Lepisosteus oculatus: one gene and its partners. The protein of the gene in region 1 purifies or fractionates together with the protein of each later gene. This does not show direct contact. Links are inferred from orthologs where the notes say so. Each region holds a gene or a part of one and is shown on either strand. Other genes may lie near its edges.

Region 1 (7,496 bases):
AACAGAGACCATGACAGTCAGCTCCGAGCCCATTCCAGACACGGTATCCCCCGGCCCAGTCAGCTCCGAGCCCATTCCAGACACGGTATCCCCCGGCCCAGTCAGCTCCGAGCCCATTCCAGACACCGTCTCCCCCGACCCAGTCAGCTCCGAGCCCATTCCAGACACCGTATCCCCCGGCCCAGTCAGCTCCGAGCCCATTCCAGACACGGTCTCCCCCGACCCAGTCAGCTCCGAGCCCATTCCAGACACGGTCTCCCCCGGCCCAGTCAGCTCCGAGCCCATTCCAGACACGGTCTCCCCCGGCCCAGTCAGCTCCGAGCCCATTCCAGACACGGTCTCCCCCGGCCCAGTCAGCTCCGAGCCCATTCCAGACACCGTATCCCCCGACCCAGTCAGATCCGAGCCCATTCCAGACACCGTCTCCCCCGACCCAGTCAGCTCCGAGCCCATTCCAGACACGGTATCCCCCGACCCAGTCAGCTCCGAGCTCAGTAAGTAATACATCTGCTCAGCCACTTGCCTGCTTGATGATGTAGGTGAGCTCCTCGATCTCCACGGCCTTGTCATCGAACAGCGACTTCCTCTTGGCAACTGCAAAACCCCAGAGACGCGTCACATGACCGGCACGCACCACCGCCCTCGCAAGCTCACCCACCACAGCACAGCGGGGAAAGTGTGCTTACGTATCGTCAGTTTCTCCAGTTTGGCAAAAGTGTTGCTCAAGTCCTTCCCAATCCTCCTGTGGGCGAGAGACAAAGAACAGGGAGCAGAGGTCAGCGGTCAGCGGTCAGCCCCGCGTGTCCAGCCTGTCACTGACGCCTGGGTTTACAGTGTCCGGATGGCCGAGATCCGCGTGACAAGGTGGAGACGCGTGAAAGGCGGCGGTCAGCGAGCTGGAGAGCAGGGGACTCACTTGGCCATGATGGTGAAGTCGCTGCGTTGCTTGACCGCGCTGAGAGCCGGCTTGTGGACCTGGACTCCATTCTGGCAGAGCAGAGACACAGAATGAGCCTCCTCTTCCTCCTCCTCCTCCTCCTCCTCCTCCTCTCCCTCACCCCACTGATCAACCCTCTATACCTCTCCTATTGCCCTCTCTCCCTCCTCCATCCTCCCCCTCAACCCTCACATCTTCAGCCCTTCCTCTCCCTCCCCCGCCTCCCTCCTCCTCTTCTCTCCTGTCTCCCCCACCTCCCTCTCCTCTCCCCAGTACCTGTCTGCCCTGCAGCGACTTGCAGGCGGAGAGGAACTCCTGGGTGCGGTCCCGGCCGGACATGGCGTTGTCGGTGGCGACGGGGAGGGGGGGGGGCCCGGCAGGGGGGGGGCAGTCCTGCGCTTGCGTCTGGGAGGGTCCGAGATACACGCCCTGCTCTGTGCTTCTAGAACCGTGACGGCGTCTCGTATACATTGAGGCTCCGAAGCATCACCTGCCGGACAGGAGGACAACCGGGGGTCAGTGGACTGGACAGGACTGGACAGGCCCCACACCCCGCGCCGGACAGCGGGACCGGTCCCCTCTGCGCTGGGAGGAGGCTGGCGCCAGCAGCCTCTACCTCAACCCTGCTGCAGCAACACAGGAACAGTCCCCAACAAGACTGAAGGACACCTGGACAGACACAAGCCCTCCCACTATAACTAGAACTCTGTTCTACTGGACCGGGACTGGAGCCCCCAGTGTAACAGGACTGTCCTACTGGACTGGAGCCCCCAGTGTAACGGACTGTCCTACTGGACTGGAGCCCCCAGTGTAACAGACTGTCCTACTGGACTGGAGCCCCCAGTGTAACAGGACTGTCCTACTGGACTGGAGCCCCCAGTGTAACAGGACTGTCCTACTGGACTGGAGCCCCCAGTGTAACAGGACTGTCCTACTGGACTGGAGCCCCCAGTGTAACAGGACTGTCCTACTGGACTGGAGCCCCCAGTGTAACAGGACTGTCCTACTGGACTGGAGCCCCCAGTGTAACAGACTGTCCTACTGGACTGGAGCCCCCAGTGTAACAGACTGTCCTACTGGACTGGAGCCCCAGTGTACCAGACTGTCCTACTGGACTGGAGCCCCAGTGTACCAGACTGTCCTACTGGACTGTATGAACCAGTTGCTGAACAGCTGTTTTGCTGAAATAAATAAAATAAGCATTTTTAAATAAAAAGGTTTAAGAGAATAAAGTGTACAAAGAATCACAATTGACCTTTCTGTGTTATCGGCTCGATAAGCGTTAAGATTTAGATTTCACCGAGCTGGGGGGTTGTTATCTTGTCTCAGGACCGACTCCAAAATTTTCGGTTTCTGTTGAAATGAGAGGATAGACTCAGTCAGCACAACCAGCGCCCCGCCTCTTCCCACGGCGGATTGGCCCACCAACACGCTCATCACCGCCCCCTGTGGACAACGCTCTACGCTATTGGTTCAGCGAACGGGCCACTACCCCCTCGCAATCACGCCGGGACCCCTATTGGCTGTCCCCGCTGCCACTCCCCGCCGACCAGCTGTAACCTCAGCGAGCGGCGGTTGGCAGCGACTCGCGTCAATCAAACTACCCGGGGGCCCTCATTGGCCGCCTGAGACGTCAACAACAACTTCAGATGTCTCCGACAGCAGCTTCAAGCGGTCTTTAAGGCTACTATTAAAATAAAACCCCACACCACACACTCCAATCTGCACTGAAACAGGTCGCGCATTATAACCGAGAAAACTCCAGCCCCCCCGAACCGCCGACAGTGACGGACAGAGCAACTGCGGGTCACTTTCAGACTGTTAAAAGCCCCATCTACCCTTCCCGGATAAATAACTCGACATTTTAAAAACACAAAGGAACGGGTGTCGGGGAAACCCGACCTCCCCCGGCACCCGTGCCCCCAGCTGGGGAGGTGCGCACCGGCGGTTCGCCACAGGCCTCCTCTCTCTCCTCACCGGTATGTCCGCGTCTCTCTCCGGTTCCGCCGCCGCGCCGCTCCGTCTCCCTCCGCCGCTGCGTTTCAATCCGGGTCACTCCCCGGCCGCTGACGTCACAGCGCCACGTCTACCAGCGGGCGTGCCCCTCCTCCCGGCCTGACGTCATCGCGCCGGGGGGCGCGGCCAGGACAGGTGCGGCGTCACGGTTCCTGTTTCTCTCTTAGAGCAGAATTAGACCATTCACTTTCGTGGATTGAGTGTGGAGACTGGTTTGGTTAACCTTGATGCTCGTAATAAAAACGGACTGAGCGAGAGGGTGCAGGTAGCCAGCACAATGACTGGTGCACAACAGCTACAACTGCCGGACATCACGCTCGATCACACAGTATGATCCCTGACTGCCATGATCACCCGTCGCACGGTGATCCGAGCTCTTCCATCTCCTTCCAAGACTCAGGAGCAGTAGGACTGAGTCGCCGTCCATTCCCCCAGCTCCTGGCCTGCTCAGAGTGGACAGCTGGCTGGATGTGTGCTCTATTTATATACAGTATCCGTGTTTGTTAAGGAGCTCGTGTTGTGTAGAATGTGTTGTGGCCTTTCCCTGCCTGCGGAGCCCCTGGACGAGAAGGCCGAGTGCAGTAGGAGGAAGGCGAAGGGTCGGTCCAGTCCAGTTTGTCGTTTGTGCAATGAGATGGTGTCAGTAAGCGCTGATGTGCAGAGAGACACTGGCTGGGGAGACAGGACCCTCAGACTCACCGGTGAAGGCACACACACAAACACACAAACACCACACAGACAACCAACGTGTAGTTTCTCGAAAGGTGTGAACAGACCTGCTCCGAAAGAATCCACTAGATGGCGCTGTCGGACTGCATTAGAAGAGGCTGCTCAGAGGATCAGGGAGGTCAGACAAGAGCCATCCGGTCTCTCTCCCTGTCCCTTCATCTGTCTGTCTCCCTGTCCCTCCATCTGTCTCTCTCCCTGTCCCTTTATCACACACCACACTGACACACACACCACACCTGTTGTGCAGATCGCCCCTGCAGACTGGAGTCCCCTCTGTCCCTGTGGCCAGGCTCCTCGGACAGCGCAGTGCTGGCGGCGAGCAGCAGGGGGCAGTGCAGACAGACCCGCGCCTGCAGTTACGGACTCTCAGCTTCCTCATCACCTCCAGCAGCTCGTGGACGAGGGGCGTGTCCCCACGAGGAGTCAGTGTCTCCTGTCCCGGGAGACACCCAGCTGTGTCCTCAAGGGGCGCTTATTGCCCTGCAGCAGGAGCAGGAGGGGAGCACATGACCCTTGACCTTTCACCTCCCTGCTCCAAGTTCATGTTAAATTAAAACACAACACGACCGCCGGACCCCCGTGTCTGACACTGGCTGAAAACCGCAGGGGAGGGAGTGAGAGAGACCTGGCCCTGCCCTCTGCCCTGTCTCCCCCTGCTGCTGCGGACCAGACTGTAACTCCTGGCTGCCTCTCCCCTCGTCAGGACTCTCGGCTCCCAGGACAGCGAGTCTGTAAATATTATTGTCTCCCAGCGGCAATCAGGCTCCCCCCACCGTCCAGCCCCCCCAACGCACTGTTTTTCTTTCATTAGTGCAGGAAGTGCTGAGGTTTCTGATTATGACAAACACACAGCTGTCTGCTGTCTGCTGTCTGCTGTCTGCTGCAGGGCTCAGGTGTCAGACCGGGAGGACAGCCGGTCCGGTGGTTCAGGTCCAGTCTTGTTAGATATTCTAACATTTAAAAAATGGATCAATATGCAAATAGAAGAAATTAATCCAGAAACAAGCCAAAATAAACGGGATAAAGTTGAAAGACCACTCGGAAACACCTCATTTAAAAAATAAGATTTCCTTTAATAGCTTATATGTGACATATATTGTTAACATTGTTGTAGTACTATCTTTAGCAGAATATATATATATACTTTCATCAATATTGAGAGCTTTACTACACACACAGCACAGAGAGACGCGTGGGAACTCACAGCTGGACAGGAGGCACAGCAACAGGCAGATACAGGCTGGGGCAAGTCTGAACTGTCACCGCAGGGGTCTGGAGTCAGGAGTCTGACCGATTACATGGCAAAAACCAGCAGTCTGATCCGCTCCAGGTGTGACAGTGCTGTCAGACTCCCAGTGTGCAGCAGTCTGATCCGCTCCAGGTGTGACAGTGCTGTCAGTCAGACTCCCAGTGCGCAGCAGTCTGATCCGCTCCAGGTGTGACAGTGCTGTCAGTCAGACTCCCAGTGCGCAGCAGTCTGATCCGCTCCAGGTGGGCAGGGGTGTCGTGTGTGTGTGTGTGTGTGTGTGTGTGTGTGTGTGTGTGTGTGTGTGTGTGTGTGTGTGTGCGCTGCTGGGAGAGACCGAGCCAGCACAGGGAACCAGAGCTGCTCTGGAGAAATCCCACTTCTCATCCCCAACTTTCCCTTCGGCCTGGTTGGCATCGTCACAGTTGCACAACAATTTTCCATAAATGAAGAGCTCATTCCGCTCTGTTCATGAAATCACTCTGGGGAGCACCGGCGCCCCCAGCATTGGGAAACAAGAACAAATAATAAGACAAATGTAGACAATTCTAATAGTATTAAGATACACATATTGCACTCAGTCCTAGTGTGACAGAACAGTTTCTTCTCTCCCTGTCTCCGAGATCAAGGTGACTCTGACACTGGACCGGCAATCTCTGGACTGCAGGGGTGCAGTGTGACCCAGACTGGACAGTGATCTCTGGACTGTAGGGGTACAGTGTGACCCAGACTGGACTGTAGGGGTACAGTGTGACCCAGACTGGACAGTGATCTCTGGACTGTAGGGGTACAGTGTGACCCAGACTGGACAGTGATCTCTGGACTGCAGGGGTACAGTGTGACCCAGACTGGACCAGTGATCTCTGGACTGCAGGGGTGCAGTGTGACCCAGACTGGACTGGTGGGGTACAGTGTGACCCAGACTGGACCGGCGATCTCTGGACTGTAGGGGTACAGGGTGACCCAGACTGGACTGTAGGGGTACAGTGTGACCCAGACTGGACCAGTGATCTCTGGACTGCAGGGGTGCAGTGTGACCCAGACTGGACTGTAGGGATACAGTGTGACCCAGACTGGACTGGTGATCTCTGGACTGTAGGGGTACAGGGTGACCCAGACTGGACTGTAGGGGTACAGTGTGACCCAGACTGGACCAGTGATCTCTGGACTGCAGGGGTGCAGTGTGACCCAGACCGGACTGTAGGGATACAGTGTGACCCAGAGTGGACCAGTGATCTCTGGACTGTAGGGGTACAGTGTGACCCAGACTGGACCACTGATCTCCAGACTGTAGGGGTACAGGGTGACCCAGACTGATAGATAAAACACGATAAGCCCAACATAGATTAAAATAAAACAAATAAGAAATAAATATGTCCATATTTTATTTTCACATAAATAAACGTTTCAGTGCATATTTCATGATAATAAGGACTTCTCTGCCTTCTTTACTGAGTGTATTTACATGTGCTGGCGTCACGTGAGCTGTACTTCTGCAGTCCGCAGGTCCGAGCCGGGCGGAGCCTGGGCATTGTGGAGCCCGTCTCCGAGACGGAGGGTCATCAGAAGGCACGTTAAGGAAGCAGCATGCCGAGCGCTGCCTGAGCTGCCCCCACTCGTTTTGGGGGCACCGCTGCCTGTCAGGGGGGATTGGACAGCCCTGCCCTCAGCGCAGGCGCGCAGGCATGAGGCTGGGCAGCTACAGTCTCCTCGAGGGCCAGATGAAGGCCAATCAGAGACACTGCAGTACAAAGACACTGATGATGATGGACACATTTATAGATAGATATACATACATATAGATTCATTTCCTTAGGAAAAAAAGAAGCGTATTTTTTGTTTGTTCTGTTCATTGACATCATTCAAATGTGTCTTTCCAGTCCTTAGCTGGTCTGAAGTGTGCGAGTGTGTGTTGTGTGTGTTGTGTGTTGTGGTGTCAGTCCCCTCCCTGGCTGTAGAAGCAGGGGGCTTGTTTCTCTGGTGTTGCTCCAGGAGGGGCCCCAGGACGGCCGTCCCGCAGCAGCAGCCCTGTCGCCGGGCATCACCGCCTCCGGGGCTCACATCTGGAACACAGACAGCACCTGGGCGTCAGGGCGACAGGCAGCAGGGAGAAGAAGTCCTGCCCCTGATCAGCAGGAGCACAGGGGTCTGAGGGGTCTGAGGGGGTCTGGAGGGGTCTGGAGGGGTCTGAGGGGGTCTGAGGGGGTCTGAGGGGGTCTGAGGGGGTCTGAGGGGTCTGGTGGAGTCTGGAGGGGTCTGGAGGGGTCTGAGGGGTCTGGGGGGGTCTGAGGGGTCTGGTGGAGTCTGGAGGGGTCTGAGGGGTCTGGAGGGGTCTGAGGGGGTCTGGAGGGGTCTGAGGGGTCTGGTGGAGTCTGGAGGAGTTTGGGGGGGTCTGGAGGGGTCTGGGGGGGGTCTGAGGGGTCTGAGGGGTCTGGAGGGGTCTGAGGGGGTCTGGAGGGGTCTGGAGGGGTCTGAGGGGTCTGAGGGGTCTGGGGGGGTCTGGAGGGGTCTGGAGGGGTCTGAGGGGTCTGGGGGGGTCTGGAGGGGTCTGAGGGGTCTGGAGGGGTC
Region 2 (7,053 bases), on another chromosome or scaffold:
TCTAACACGCCACACAAATCTCTGAAACCCTTATTCACTCAGCCTGCTGAATCAAGGGTGCTGTTTCAAAAATTACACAGTGCAGCACCTATTTTGCTAGGATAGCTAACAGACAAAGAAAAACGGAGACATTTTCTTGGTAAAACTGACTCAGAATTGGGCTCCTGAAGATGATGATAATAATAATTGTTTGTGGCCTTCGAATACAATTGTTTGTATGAAAGAGTGGTATAAACTTTAAATAGTGAAATAGTGGCTTCTGTTATAGAAAAGGGGCTTGTTTAGCTTATGGCCACTGTAAATCACTTCAAAAGTAAGGATGCCAAAAAACTATATAATGTCGAATACAAAACAGACTCCAACAACTGCATTACAACAAAGCAGCCCTGTTTTATCAGTAGTAGTTGTCAGTACATAAAAACCTAATGGACACATACTTACGACAAATGAATTACACAATTTCTGTGCTTTTAGGTGAAAAAATATATATAGTTGTATACAAAACAAGTATATTTTTCAAATATATGTACAGAAACAGAACCCTTTTTTATAGCAATGAACTGTTCTCTTTAAAATGCACAGGGATGTTACATTTGTATGGATTACATATAAAACAAGGATTTTCCAAAAGATAAACTTACACAATTTGACATCATTAGTAAATCATATGAAATACAACTATCAAAAGCTTTATTCAGCAATGTGTTCTGAACCTTTGAAGGTCAGAATTGATCCATCATTGCAGCCCCCCAAAATAAACAAGGACACCTCCACTTTCCAAAACTGGAAGGTCAGTGAACTGTACTTACATGTTTTAAAGCACTGACTTTAGCTCTTAAACCTTCGGATAAATTTTCATTTTCTTCTTCATGAACACTGTATCCACTTGCTACATAATTTCCTGTGGGTGCTCCATCACCTGTTAAAAGAAGGTGATAACATCCAAAGATAAAATAAAAATATCATGACTGGTTCATTACAATGTTGTGAGCAATACAATTAAACTTTGAATTTTCCACAACATTAGATATACAGTACAGGTTTATACAATCATGTCGGCTGTATTGTTCCCTACATCTCCATTTCGAAGTACTTGCTTTCACTAACTGTTTAATTACAATTACTGTGGCCATAAAGGGAAATTCCCATTATTTTACATAAATGAAAGGACGGCGACAAGGAAAACATGTCTGCAGTATATGATTAATACAATACTTAAAAACTACACTCTTTTTTTGGCAAAATAAATTGATCTTCACAGACTTGCAAACAGGTTAAAAAAGAAAATGATTAAACCATGTGGCTTAGAAAGCCAACTAAGGGTGTGCCCAGTAAAATCTGACAGGTCACCATCACCAATCCTTCCTTATCTTTGACCAGGGATGATGAGCCCCAGACTACTCTTTAAATGAGTGGGCGGAGCAGTGTCTCTGTGGCTCAGGATCTGTGCCTGCGGTTGGAAGGTTGCCAGTTCAAATCCCGCAGCCGGCAGAGGAATCCTACTCTGTTGGGCCCCTGAGCAAGACCCTTAACCCCAACTGCTCCAGGGGTGCCATACAATGGCAGACCCTGCGCTCTGACCCCCAGCTTCTCTCTCCCTGTCTGTGTGTCTCATGGAGAGCAAGCTGTGGCATGCGAAAAGATCATTCCTAATGCAAGAAATTGTATATGGCCAATAAAGTGATATTAAATGAAACAGGCTTGCAAATCCTTTAATCCAAAAGGCTGAAATGGTCAAGTTCCTTGCAGGTAGAGCTCTGTGATCATGGGTTCAAGCATGGGCCATGTCAGCAGCTGACTGTGACACAAATTTCCCCAGTCAGCGGCACTGGAAATGGGCGAGGGTAGAGTGGGTGTAGTCAGTGACACAGCGCCCCCTGTAGTCTTCTGGAGTGTTTGCAAGCTTGCAGTGCTGAGGGTGAAGGATGGGCCTCTCCACCAACCAGCACTGAACCTGTGGCACAGAGTGGGGTTGTCTGTGATGTGTCAAGAAATGACTGACTGGAAGGAGGAGTTATGAAACAACTTGTGAAAAACCATAACTTTGCTGTTCTAAACTGGGTGGGACTAACACATAAAACTGGTGATTCTAAATTTCTAAAAAAAAATAAATGTTATAAAAAAATAACATTCTTGGGATCACCCCAGCCCTGATTCAATAACATTTAACTGTTCTTGTATATACAATGTATATCCGATCTTATCAACAATGACGTTTGCTCGATGAAGTGTTAAACTAAGAAGGTCCAACTTTTGCACTAACTTCACTTGTCTAACTTCACTTTAAAATATTGCAACTAACCATAGTACCCATGTAATTGATGAATGAATTATCAAGCAAAATGACAGGTATTAGAACTTGAAAACAATTTGTCTAAACAGTCTAGTCATATAGAGTATAAAACCAGGTTCTACAGAAAAAAAACTGATGTACATCGAGATTCTTGTTTTAAATCAACGAATACGTTTTAAATCAACTTTCAATCTCGACTGTATTTAATGAGCTGTTTCCCTAGTGAGAAATGATAAAAAAAAACATCCTAAGACTGTGATATACTTGTAAAATTGATTGAACCGTCTCCCATTCATGGGAAATAACAGCTCGGATTTCGAGACATTTCACTCGTTTAGGGCGCAGGGTATGAAGAGTTCAAACTACGGGGATTTCAGGAATTATTGTTCAGACTGCGTCTTAAATTAATTAATACATTTAGTAATGGACAAACCTTTTCACCCTGTATAATAAAATCCTCTATTTACTTTAGAAATAATCAATATATCGTTTATAAATTTTAATAACCAACGAGTCCCCTTAAATTTTATTTCGAGTTCATGGTACAATTCAGTAAACCATTTTCAGAAACAAGAGTGGATACAGCTCCTCTTACCCAAACCCGCTCGCCTCATTTTGATCCCTTAGACTCCTTTCAGACAACGTTTGTTGCCAACACTTATTTTCTCGGTAACAATAATTTACCGAAGTTACAATTCCCGAAACCGATTTCTGCTTTGCCAACGTGTATGAACAGCAGCTATCGAAAAAAAAAATGAAACTTCACGACAACAACAACCCGGAACACGGCAGAACATCTTGGTTTGTGGGTAATGGAGTGCATGCGGTTGACTAAAGAATAATTCACACCGGCTCTCCCTGCGCTTGTCTGTGACCACTCTCACAACATCATGTCCGGTACATTCAGGCATATGATTCAAATTCAACAGGAGGCATGATTATTTATTTGGCTATTACTGAGTTCTTTAAATTACTTAGACAAGTTGAGTAGCAAAAAAAAAGACTACATCGCCCAGAATGCATAGCAAAGTCTCACTGCAACCTGAAAGTGCTGAAGCAAACGCAATGCAAGCGGAAGAGGCTCATGCTTCAACTGCCTTTTTAATATTGTACATCAAATGATACATCTAAGGAATAAAAAGTATCCGAAAAGCTAAGTGAACAATAAAAAAAAATCACAAAACAGTATACTGCTAGAGAGAATTAAAAAATAGAACTCAACAAATGAAACATTTTCATCCAATTTTTTTATTTGTGAATATTATGTCAAATTATAACTATTCTTCCATATTACATGGCTCAAAGCGTAAAGTTTATATGAAACTTTTTAAGTCTGCCTTTTTAATGCGTATTATTAAAGTTCTGCAAGTCTGTCCAAAACAAGTAACACATGTGTCCGAGTTTTTTTTTTCCCCAGGCTTAAAATACACAAATCATCTTGTTGAATCTTGTTGAAAAGTCTGAATCTAGAAAGTCTTAGTTTAACATTTTAAAGCCTATGAACAGTTGTAAATGTTTTTTGTAAGGCAGTATCTGTCAGGAGTTGTCCAAAATAATTTTCAGTTAGTATTTACAAATATTAAATTCTAGAAGGATATACAGATAGAAATGAAGCAGAGTTTAAACAAATTCCTTATGTGGTTTTTAAAATTGCATTTTTATCTTTTATTTTCACACCATTCAAGAACAAAGTAACTGTAGATGTCAGGTCTATACTGACAGAGTTAGGGTTACCTGCAAGACTTTTTGTTTTGTACTTAATACCTTTGTTATATAGTATTTATAGTTTATATAGTATGTATGTGGTGAGAACTTATGTTTATACAGTATATTAAATATAAGACCCGTCTGTGAAAGTTGAATAAGTTAATCATGGGTGTCATGAAGTCAAATAACAGCTTCTCAATGATTTCTCCAAAAAACCCTCTACATTACCACACGTTCTGATTATCTCCCAGAATCACCAATGCACACACAGACCAGCGATAAGCATTAGTATCGTATAAGTACCCTTTTTAATAAATTATGTACAGTAACATTAACTATCAGCAAGGACAGGTTCTTTCAAGAGTCCTAATGAATTCCTGGGGGTCAGCTGTCCTTGCAGGTGATGAGGAGAGGGCGTTGGAAAGTCTTGGTGTTACAGAGAAGGACAGCAATGTATAGAAAAGTGATGCCGCACAGTCCAATTTCCCCGGTCTCCGTTTGGACTATATCGGGAGTCCTCCTTTAGAGTGCACTACTCTCCCCTTGGGTCAGTATCGACTCACCAGGCCGGTTTCTTTGCTTCTTTCCTCCAAGTATTAGATGTCTCTGTGCAGTACCTCCGTTCCTCTGCATCCTTCTCCCATGATCTGCAACTCCAGGGAGAATCTCCTCTGTGGACTCGCAGGTTGCGGGTTTCCTTGCACTGCCTGTCTCGTGTCGAGGGGCTACCCTGGAGAAGAGACTCCTCTGTTGAGGCTCAGATCTTTTTATCCCTCCCATAAGCCATCCCCCCAAGTGGTTTTCCTATTGTCTCTGTCAGTGGCGGGTGCACCCAGAACATTATCAGGAGGAAGCTCAGGTCGTTTGAGAACGGGAAGTCCTAGGTGTCATGGGCACTTCTCATTTCTTTGTGTGCTTTCCTGCTCCACTCCCCTGCCCAAGGTCTGACGAACTGGCTCAGCCTCACACCTCCATGCGTCAGTACCTAATTGCTTCCTGGATGACTTGGGTATGACCATTGTTACTAATTGTTCCCTGCTCCACTGTCACATTGACACAATCCTGGCCATCAACACAACGCGATTCATCACAACCTGTTACTGCTTCAACGGCCAACATCTTGTGACATTAGCACTGGAAATGTAGAGTTCAGCTGGAATGAGCACCAGCAGAAAAGAGTTCAAAAACATTACTTTATATTTATATCTAAATATATAACCATAAATGCACATTTGTTTGAGCTAATGCGCCATATATATGTTAATATTGTATTATTAATCAACTTTAAACATTTAATCATCTGGTCATTTTTATCACACCAATCTTGGCGTACAATCATAGAGTTTCTTTAGAGCCCTTAGTGATATTCGTGTTAAGGTCTTTTCAATGAGAATGAAAACATTTTTTTAATGCTTGAAATAGTCCTTGAAAATGTTCTCTTTTGTTTGAATTCTTCGATGCTTGATCTAAGCCAACAGACTTTTCTTCTTCTAAAGAAACAATTGAACACCAGAGCTGACAAAAGTGAGGAATAATGATAATGGAAAAGAAAATATCATTACAACTGTTACATACTGTAAGTGTTTAGAAATATTTTCCTGCTCTTTGGTGTGGAAGTTTTCTTTATTCCGGAGAGCTATTTCGATATTATCATAGGTGAGTCATGTGTGCATGAAAAGTTCATTGCTTTTCACCAATTACCAAAGCGAAAAAGCCTTTCAGTGTATTTCACATCAAAAAACACATTAGACTCTGCTTTAGCAGCACATCACTGTACTTAGTATTTGCCTGTTATGACAGACAGTATGTGCTAAAAGCAACTTAATGCTGCAAAATATTAACTTGCAAAATGTCCTTTATGATATTTAAGGTACAGCAAAATGGTAACAGCAGAGGATCCACCTTGGATAAGATGTAAAAACAACAGCAACAAAGCAATTACTCAAGCCTATTATAATTATTCAGACCTATTATAAGAGATGGGGAAAGAGCAGTGTCTTGCTGTGATTAATCATTGTCTTTAGGGTCTGATACATGTAGCTGCCTGTCTTCTCCATTGGTGGTCTTCCTATAGAGGAGTGTGTGCTAATGATAAAAGTGCTTTGAAGGCAAAGAAGAAAGCATGCTGTTAATACCATTGAGAGACGTTTGAATAAAATGTTTATGCTATTTCCCCTTATACCTTCTTAACCATTTTTTATCTGCATCATGATTCTGTAGGATTAGCAGTCATTCATTTTTGACACACTATCTACTGTAGGTCTCAAGGATCACACATTTTAATTAATCAGATATTAATCAAACATACTGTACAAGCATCCATACATACATACACAGTGCAGGTCCTTTTTCCAGGAGTTTCTGAGGGTTTTTATTTACATAGCTGATGTTCCCATAGGGTAGTTACAGAAAAGTCAATGAAACATAAGGTCAATCCACTTCATTATTCTTAGAAACTGGAAGACTTTCTGGGAACCAGGCATCATGAGCACAGAAAATGGAGTGTATTATCCTTATAGTCATCTCCGTTTATGTGTTACCAAAATAGTTACCATATTTCCAAGTACCTGATTTGCCCACTGTTTCCTGAGGAATGTTAAGTTTTGCCTCCATTGCAGATTTACAGTACATACATGTTCTGTCACGAACAGCATCCCTCCTCTTAAAGGACACTCCGACCCTTTTGTATTTTAGTTGATTATGAGCACCTGCCTCTTGCTTTGTCCTACTATTTCAGCCTGGTGCTCTTGCTATTCCTGGCTCAGCACTGGGAGATGGATGCCCAGAAGCCCGCCTACCAGCGGGTCCAGGAGAGACCCGACGGCACAGGCTTCATCACGGCCTCCTGACCGTCTGAGTCCGGGGCTCGGAGCGCCTGGCCTCTGTCCCTACTGTCACGAATCTTACTCCCGCGTGCCCCTCCCGGCGCACACACCTGTGCCGCTATTAGCAATTAGCACTTCACTCCCCGCTTCCTCCGTTCACTCCTCGCTCACTGTTGAGATTGCCTTAAACCTTCTCTTGTGCGCGTTTTCTTCTACTGACTTCTGGAT
Region 3 (7,027 bases), on another chromosome or scaffold:
CAGTGTCTTTTTTATTTAGTCGGCAACGTTAAATTGGTTATTATTCACAAATAACTACAGCAATAAAATTTGCTGATGACATGATCATAATCTGATAACCTGTTCTCACCCAGCAAAGGTACAATGCTGCTGAACAACCCAAGAAGTTGGTTTATGATTAAAATCACATTTTGAGGATCAACAAAGTTTAAAGCGGGAAACAAACATATATAAATGTACTCTTAAGCAGTTATGAGGAAACACTCTAAGTGAAGGTAATTGAAGTTAATTAAGAAATATACTAAGTGAAGGTAATTACGTTTTGGGCTGTTTTACAAAATAGGAACTTCGGAAGGTGACGTCAGGGATTTATATACCCTCTCATTGGGCGTATCAGTTAATCGCCGTTATCAGGCTAAATATTTTGAAATAACAAGCAATTCAAGGGGAAGACTGATTTAATCTTACCTTCTCCATAATATGAGGATCCATCGTACTTCCCCCACCGGTCATGAGTGCTACTGTCCAGGGGCTCGCTTGCGTCTAGTCGGGCGACCACTCCGGGTGAACAATGAGGCTGGGTGCCGTTGACAGATGGATACCTTCCCCGAAAATAACTACACCAAAAGGCTCATAATTAAAGCTGTTTTTGTAAGGAGGGATATGGACATGGAGTTTAATCAGAGCTCCAATTTCCGTTTGTCACGATAGTCTATTATTACATTTCCCCCAGTTTTTTTTAGAAAATGTTGATTACCTGTTTATCCCTGCTTCCGAAAACTACCCTTCCTCCTTAGTCTATCTGCCAAGATGGGCAAATTCACCTTGCATTTTGTATAAGGCTTCGCTGAGTTGGAAGTGATACAGTACAACAGCGGGAATATCCATGTGTTTATTCATGTTCACCAACCCTAAGTACTTTCACCAATTTGTACCCTTCCAAGCTTCTCAGAAAAGTGAGCCTTTCTTTAAGGATTAGTTTTAGTGTCCATGTTCAAAGCACTTCTGTTCTTTTATACTGTATGTGGTGCGTAAGCATCTTAGTGTTTTGTAAAGCAAAAAGTTTCCTACAGTATTAGAACTGCGCTCTACAACACCTTGAAAGCGCAAGTTTAAATTCAAGACCCCAGTGTCTTAAATACGGGACGGGAAGTTGTCGTCTGAGTAAAAGTCATCCTTTCCGTTGCCTCTCAAAGATCATTTTAATCGCATTCCATACTCGTGCCAGTCGAGACATTGGGCTTCATCGTGGTAGCAGAATATTTCAAAAAGTTTTTTTAAAAAATTTTAATTTAACCAAGACAACTTGGCATCTCTCTCCAGAGTGCAAAAACACCAACAATTCAACTCCAACTCGACATCGTTTATTTTCACCCTAAGATTTTCAAGGAAATATTAAAAAAAATCAAATTGAACTAAGATGTATTATTAAAAATCTAAACGAAAAGAAAGCGAGCATTGATCATTTTAGTCCCGTGATAGTTGCGCGCTTTAAACACGGGTGATCAATTTAACAATTCTTAGAATCCTTTCACGTGGCATATTACTCTATCTTTAAGTTCTTCTTGTTTAAATTAGCAATATATTTCCACCCTAATTTTATAAGTCCCAAGAGGGACGTACTTGCATTGATTTGATTTTAATTGGTCAGAAAGCGCGCAGACAGGACACGGTTATCCATCATCCCTCCCGTTTCCCCGGTTCTTCATTCTGTTTCCCTGGCAATCGAGAAATAAAAAACGACCCTATTGGTCTCTACTAAAAGCACTCGCACTGCCATTGCTGCCACAACCACCAGGTGCTTTACAGAGCAGTCATCCTTCCCGTTGCCTTGGCGACAACATTCTGAATCCGTTGCCCTGGAAATCTCTCCATATATGCTCACCTCTGGTATGGAAAACACTTATCAATGAAGCGAGTGGACAGTAGGAAATTGTTAAATGGGGCAAAATTACTTAGGAAAACATTGGCTTAGCTGCAAAGTCCTCAATTGCGTGGCTCCCACTCAAGCTTGACTGTTCATCAGTAAAGGACACGGAGCGATCAATACAGCGAAAGGCTGAGATCATTTCGCTCCGGCAATTTTGGGCATCGCAAAAGCTGGCAGAGGTATTAGGCTCTGGGATTGGGTGGGAGAAGTGAGAGGAGGAACTGCAGCTTTGTCAAAAAGTTGATTTCTACACGGCCAGACCCTGAATACTCGTCATCAGCGGAGCAATTCGGAGATAAGATCAAAAATCCAGCAGCCATATCACCCTGCAACTCACAACTGGCAACCCACTGAAGCTAAGCAGGTGTGAGCCTGGTCAGTACCTGGATGGGAGACCTCCTGGGAAAAACTAAGGTTTCTGCTGGAAGAGGTGTTAGTGGGGCCAGCAGGGGGCACTCACCCTGCGGTCCATGTGGGTGCTAATGCCCCGGTATAGTGACGGGGACACTATACTGTAAACAGGCGCCGTCCTTCGGATGAGACGTAAAACCGAGGTCCTGACTCTCTGTGGTCATTAAAAATCCCAGGGCGCTTTTCGAAAAGAGTAGGGGTGTAACCCCGGTGTCCTGGCCAAATTTCCCCCCTGGCCTTTACCCCATCATGGCCTCCTAATAATCCCCCTCTATGAATTGGCTACATTACTCTGCTCTCCTCCCCACTGATAGCTGATGTGTGGTGAGCGTTCTGGCGCACTATGGCTGCCGTCGCATCATCCAGGTGGATGCTGCACATTGGTGGTGGTGGAGGGGAGACCCCATTACCTGTAAAGCGCTTTGAGTGGAGTGTCCAGAAAAGCGCTATATAAGTGTAAGCAATTATTATTATTATTATTATTATTAAAAACAACTCTAAGATCCTCCCGCTTCTACATAAAAACCCTGCTGCTTATATCACGTGTTTTCCCCATATTCTACAGAGGATGAACAAGGAAACCTAATTTAGGATAATACATAACATAAGCCTATTAAAATTCACTAAACACATTCTCAATTCTAAAAGTCACAAGCAGATTTTCTGACATATTAATCTATTGACTAAAAATGAATCGGAACGTGTATGAACGAACCTATTGATAAACAACAACCTTTGGTCACACTAGGACACCGACATTATGGTAAAATCTGCTAAAGCTGTTGACATCAAACTATGATCAGAAAACGTGATTGAGTTATTAACGTACTGCAGTCTTTCGAGTTTGATCAAATCAAACAAGTACATTTTCAGATAGACTTAGTAAATAAAAAAATATTCTGCAAATCTTTAAAAACGTTGTGCATGTTTGAACTATCTGGGAAATATTCTCGATTTTCACAAATGTTGCAATGTTTCCTGTTATCCCTGGTGAGCCGAATTAAGAAGTGTCACAAATCTTTACGATTCTTTACGATACAGCGCCATCTAGTGACATAGCACTCGGTATTTGCTTGCACTGGAAAAATAAGCCATTCTGTTTTATTATTTTGTTTTAAGAAAGGGAAAGCTCAAATATGAAAGGACAACAGGCGTGTTACAAAGCTTTCTCAATAAAGAGGGTTAATTGTCAATATTCAATTTTTCCAAACGAGTCCAATTATAATTTCAGAATTATTTCACATCATAATACATTCCGATATTCTACAACGAGTTTAATTCGGAATTGCTTGTATGACTTTATTTTAAGTCGAAATTTATAATGGATGGACAGGCGCAACAAAGCGAATACTTTATTTGTAAAACTCCCTATAAAATCCAGTGTTTTGCAACATTCAAAACGAAAATACGATTCCCAAGGCCAGTTCTCGTTGAAGTAAAATCATTTCTTTCAGATGTACATATTAGGTATTATAAGAAGAAATTACTTTTGTAAAAGCAAAGCATAACGTTCATTTTCGAAGGGTCCTGAAAATTGATGCGTCTTCCCTGAGGTGCAGACCCACTTAACTCTAGGCACGGATCATGAGAGGCTCGTGTTGCACGCCGGGGGTGTTTGAAGGTAGGACCTAATTCCGCCGGAGTTGAGTGACGTGGTTCGGGGGAAGAAAGAGAAAGGGAGTTTCTTTCGGTGTTGTCTGGATCTCAGTCTCCTTTCGGAGGGTAGCTTTACAGTTCGGATTCGTCATTACGTTCAGTGCTATTTTTCTTTTTCCTCCATACCTTCAGTAGAGGAATCGACACATTTCTGCCTTGACGTGGCTGTTGGAGCTATAATACGAGTGGTCTCTAATCGTCTGAAGAGAAGCAACAGAGTAATTGGTAAGAGGAACTAAACTAATCCTTCCCCAAAACAGTAGTGTTAATAGGGAGAAACAGATGCCCGAGATTAAATCGGAGACAATAAGATGATTAAATAGTGGCAGTATTAAGTATTCCCTATGAATATATACTTATATCGCCGCTTGATCAAGACCAACTGAGTGTGTTCAGTAGTAAGTCGATGCCGTTAATAAGTATTGTTGAGAGTAAATCTAAAACACGAGACTCTGGTAACACGGAAATAACAGCCCCATTTCATATCCTTGAACTTTTGCCATTTAACGTAATGTAATGATAATTTAAATTGGACGTTATTGGTCAGGAAAATGTTGGGAGACGTAATCGTTTTATTTGTGAGAAAGTCCGTGGCTATTTTGTCTTTTGCATTTGCCGTTTAATACCACAAGGACAGCTGGTGCAAAGAGCAAATACCTGCAGCATCTCATACGCTTGTTTTAAGTCAGGAAAGGTGACGTTTCGTGAGCAGCCTGGAAGCGTAACAGTCCGACTGCGACATCACCGGTAAAACAATAATTGTAAAAAAAATTGATTACATCTTTCAGTGAAAAGCAGTGATGAATACCACTCTCAATACAACACAACACCGTAGTTCACGGTAAATAAGTGGTCAGTATCAGTGCATTCGGATTAAGAAGTTCGCTTTTCTGAAAGGACTTTCCCAATCAGCTCATGGCGTGCCTTGCAGCAAAGAAAAAAACTTCCCATGAAATTGACATTGATATTTCACTGGTGTGGCCGACAAGCAGCACCTCTTTAGTGTCATTGCAACTTTGTTTTACTATGATTGTTTACAATATATTTAAAAAGAATGTACATCTATGGGAGTATTGTGACTCTTTTATGTTTGGTCTTCTTGGCTGAAATAGACTGTTGCTCTCCAGATGAAGGAAACGTAGTCTTTCTGGTGGTGGTGGGGATTACTGGTCAGTGAGGGAAGACGTGCTGCTCTGTACTGGTTTGCTGTGTCTCGGTGTGTTTCAGAGCTTCTGGGACGCCCAGGTGATTCCAAGTGTGAGTCATAATGAAGCTTTACAGCCTGAGTGTCCTCTATAAAGGGGCAACCAAAGCCAACCTGCTCAAAGGTGCCTATGATTTATCCTCCTTCAGCTTCTTCCAGAGGTCCAGGTAAGTTCGTGCCTTTTCCCAGCGGCGTTTTGCTGTAGTGATTGAATGAAAAAATTGGCAGTCCAGTTACTGTGAATATGTCCTTCCAAACCATGTGACCTCTGTCTCACTCATGTTGTCAGTGTAAACTGACAGAGAGTCACAGGCCAAGATATAATGTGAGTTTCTCTTCTGGAGCCAGGTTCTTGTAATTCCTGGTTCAGGGAAATCGACGGTTTCACTTGAAGGGTCTAAAGCAATTGGACCCTTCCAATTAAAATAATTTTAAATGAGTTCAAGCCCAATAGTTTTGCAATTTTATCTTAAGCAATCAATTTTATTGGTGAATTTAAAAAGGCCACATGCAAAAATCCTATCTTGAGAATTAGTCTAGGAAGAATGTGATTCTGGGAGAACATATGAAATCAGTTTTTTTGTATGCTTATGTAATGGGTAGGACATTCCTACATATTGTTTGTAACTGCACAGTTTAGCATTGAACAGGAAATAAGGCAGAAAAAAAACATAATATCCATTCAGAATGTAATGCAAGATTAATCACATTCTTTATTTGTGTTGTAGCAGCAAAAGATTTGTGTACAGCAAATGTGGACCAGCGGGTATGGTTTGAAATTTCTGACACTGTAGGGCATTGAATAAAAAAAAACCCTTAAGGGGTTAAGGTTTTGCACTTAATCCAACTCATTGCTTGGTTTCTATGGAAACGAAGCTGAGTGAGAATCCCACAGCTTCAGCTTCAACAGCTGTTTCACACATCACACATTAGCAGACACGTGTTGTCACTCAACAAAAACAGTCATACACTCGAGCAGTCTGCGATTTCTATATGTAAAAAATATCTAAGAAAGGCATGAGTTCATTTTCATACTGAACAACCTAGAGATAATTATGTGTCTGTGTGTATGTTAATCCTGGCTTGGTTTGATGCGTAAAATACTCAACAGTCTGAAATCTTAATTTCATAGTTGTTCTGTTGTGATTTAGCATCTACGTTTCAGCTAGCAAACACTTTCTCAATTTCTTAAGCAATAACAAGTTACAAACTACTGACTGAAGAGAAAAATAATTTTTAGTTTTATTTTCATGAAACGGAGCTAAACTTGAATGTGACTGATTCTTGAAAGGGATTTGGTGGGTGAGAAGAACCAAGCTAATAGTGTTGTAGATTATGTGGGAACAACATAAGGGTACTGACAGTCAGCAGAAGCCTAAATTAGTCAGCACGAAGTAAACAAAATAAGTTTCCTTCTTTCCTTCTGATTTTGCTTCATATTTCGTTTTCTGATTTATTATTTGGTGTTTAGAATTTGATTTTGCAATAGTTTATTTTATGGCTATAGTTTAACAGCAATTCTCAAAGATGACCTTTGCAAAGCAAAGATTGTGGGATTAATGACTTGAACTACTGATAAAACAGTACACAACCACAGATTTGCAAATGTATCTTAAACAATCACATTTATTGGAAAGTTTAAAAAGGCCACATGCAGAAGTGCTATCTTGAGAATTACTCTAGGAAGAATGTGGTTTTGGGAGAACATATCAAATCATTTTTTTGTATACCTATGCAATGGGTAACACATTTCTAAGAATTGTTTGTAATTGTTATAACCAAGTTATTTCAAGTGTTATACTGAAACTGTCCTTGACTTACAAATGGCTTAAGGAAGTTTGTTTTAT

Evidence for each region. The genes of interacting proteins can lie anywhere in the genome.
Region 2: the proteins of stx5a (region 1) and bet1 purify together in Homo sapiens (affinity purification with mass spectrometry; 3 studies listed by BioGRID and IntAct, with this or other methods). This does not show direct contact. The link is inferred for Lepisosteus oculatus from reciprocal best matches to the Homo sapiens genes STX5 and BET1.
Region 3: the proteins of stx5a (region 1) and ykt6 purify together in Homo sapiens (affinity purification with mass spectrometry; 3 studies listed by BioGRID and IntAct, with this or other methods). This does not show direct contact. The link is inferred for Lepisosteus oculatus from reciprocal best matches to the Homo sapiens genes STX5 and YKT6.

Annotation. Positions count from the first base shown.
Region 1 is NC_090713.1:23,128,071-23,135,566, forward strand, and holds the start of stx5a (syntaxin-5a), read right to left. Parts: upstream 3,003-7,496; 5' UTR 2,915-3,002; exon of another isoform or gene 2,880-2,914; intron 2,291-2,879; 5' UTR 2,193-2,290; intron 1,428-2,192; 5' UTR 1,409-1,427; coding exon 1,214-1,408; intron 988-1,213; coding exon 917-987; intron 743-916; coding exon 687-742; intron 595-686; coding exon 524-594; intron 1-523. Other genes in the region: vegfba (vascular endothelial growth factor A), read right to left, coding at 6,970-6,991. UniProt on the Homo sapiens protein: Mediates endoplasmic reticulum to Golgi transport.
Region 2 is NC_090705.1:4,535,719-4,542,771, reverse strand, and holds the start of bet1 (BET1 homolog), read right to left. Parts: upstream 3,069-7,053; 5' UTR 2,908-3,068; coding exon 2,889-2,907; intron 920-2,888; coding exon 810-919; intron 1-809. UniProt on the Homo sapiens protein: Required for vesicular transport from the ER to the Golgi complex. Functions as a SNARE involved in the docking process of ER-derived vesicles with the cis-Golgi membrane.
Region 3 is NC_090697.1:70,414,300-70,421,326, reverse strand, and holds the start of ykt6 (synaptobrevin homolog YKT6), read left to right. Parts: upstream 1-3,959; 5' UTR 3,960-4,201; intron 4,202-5,203; 5' UTR 5,204-5,243; coding exon 5,244-5,347; intron 5,348-7,027. UniProt on the Homo sapiens protein: Vesicular soluble NSF attachment protein receptor (v-SNARE) mediating vesicle docking and fusion to a specific acceptor cellular compartment. Functions in endoplasmic reticulum to Golgi transport; as part of a SNARE complex composed of GOSR1, GOSR2 and STX5.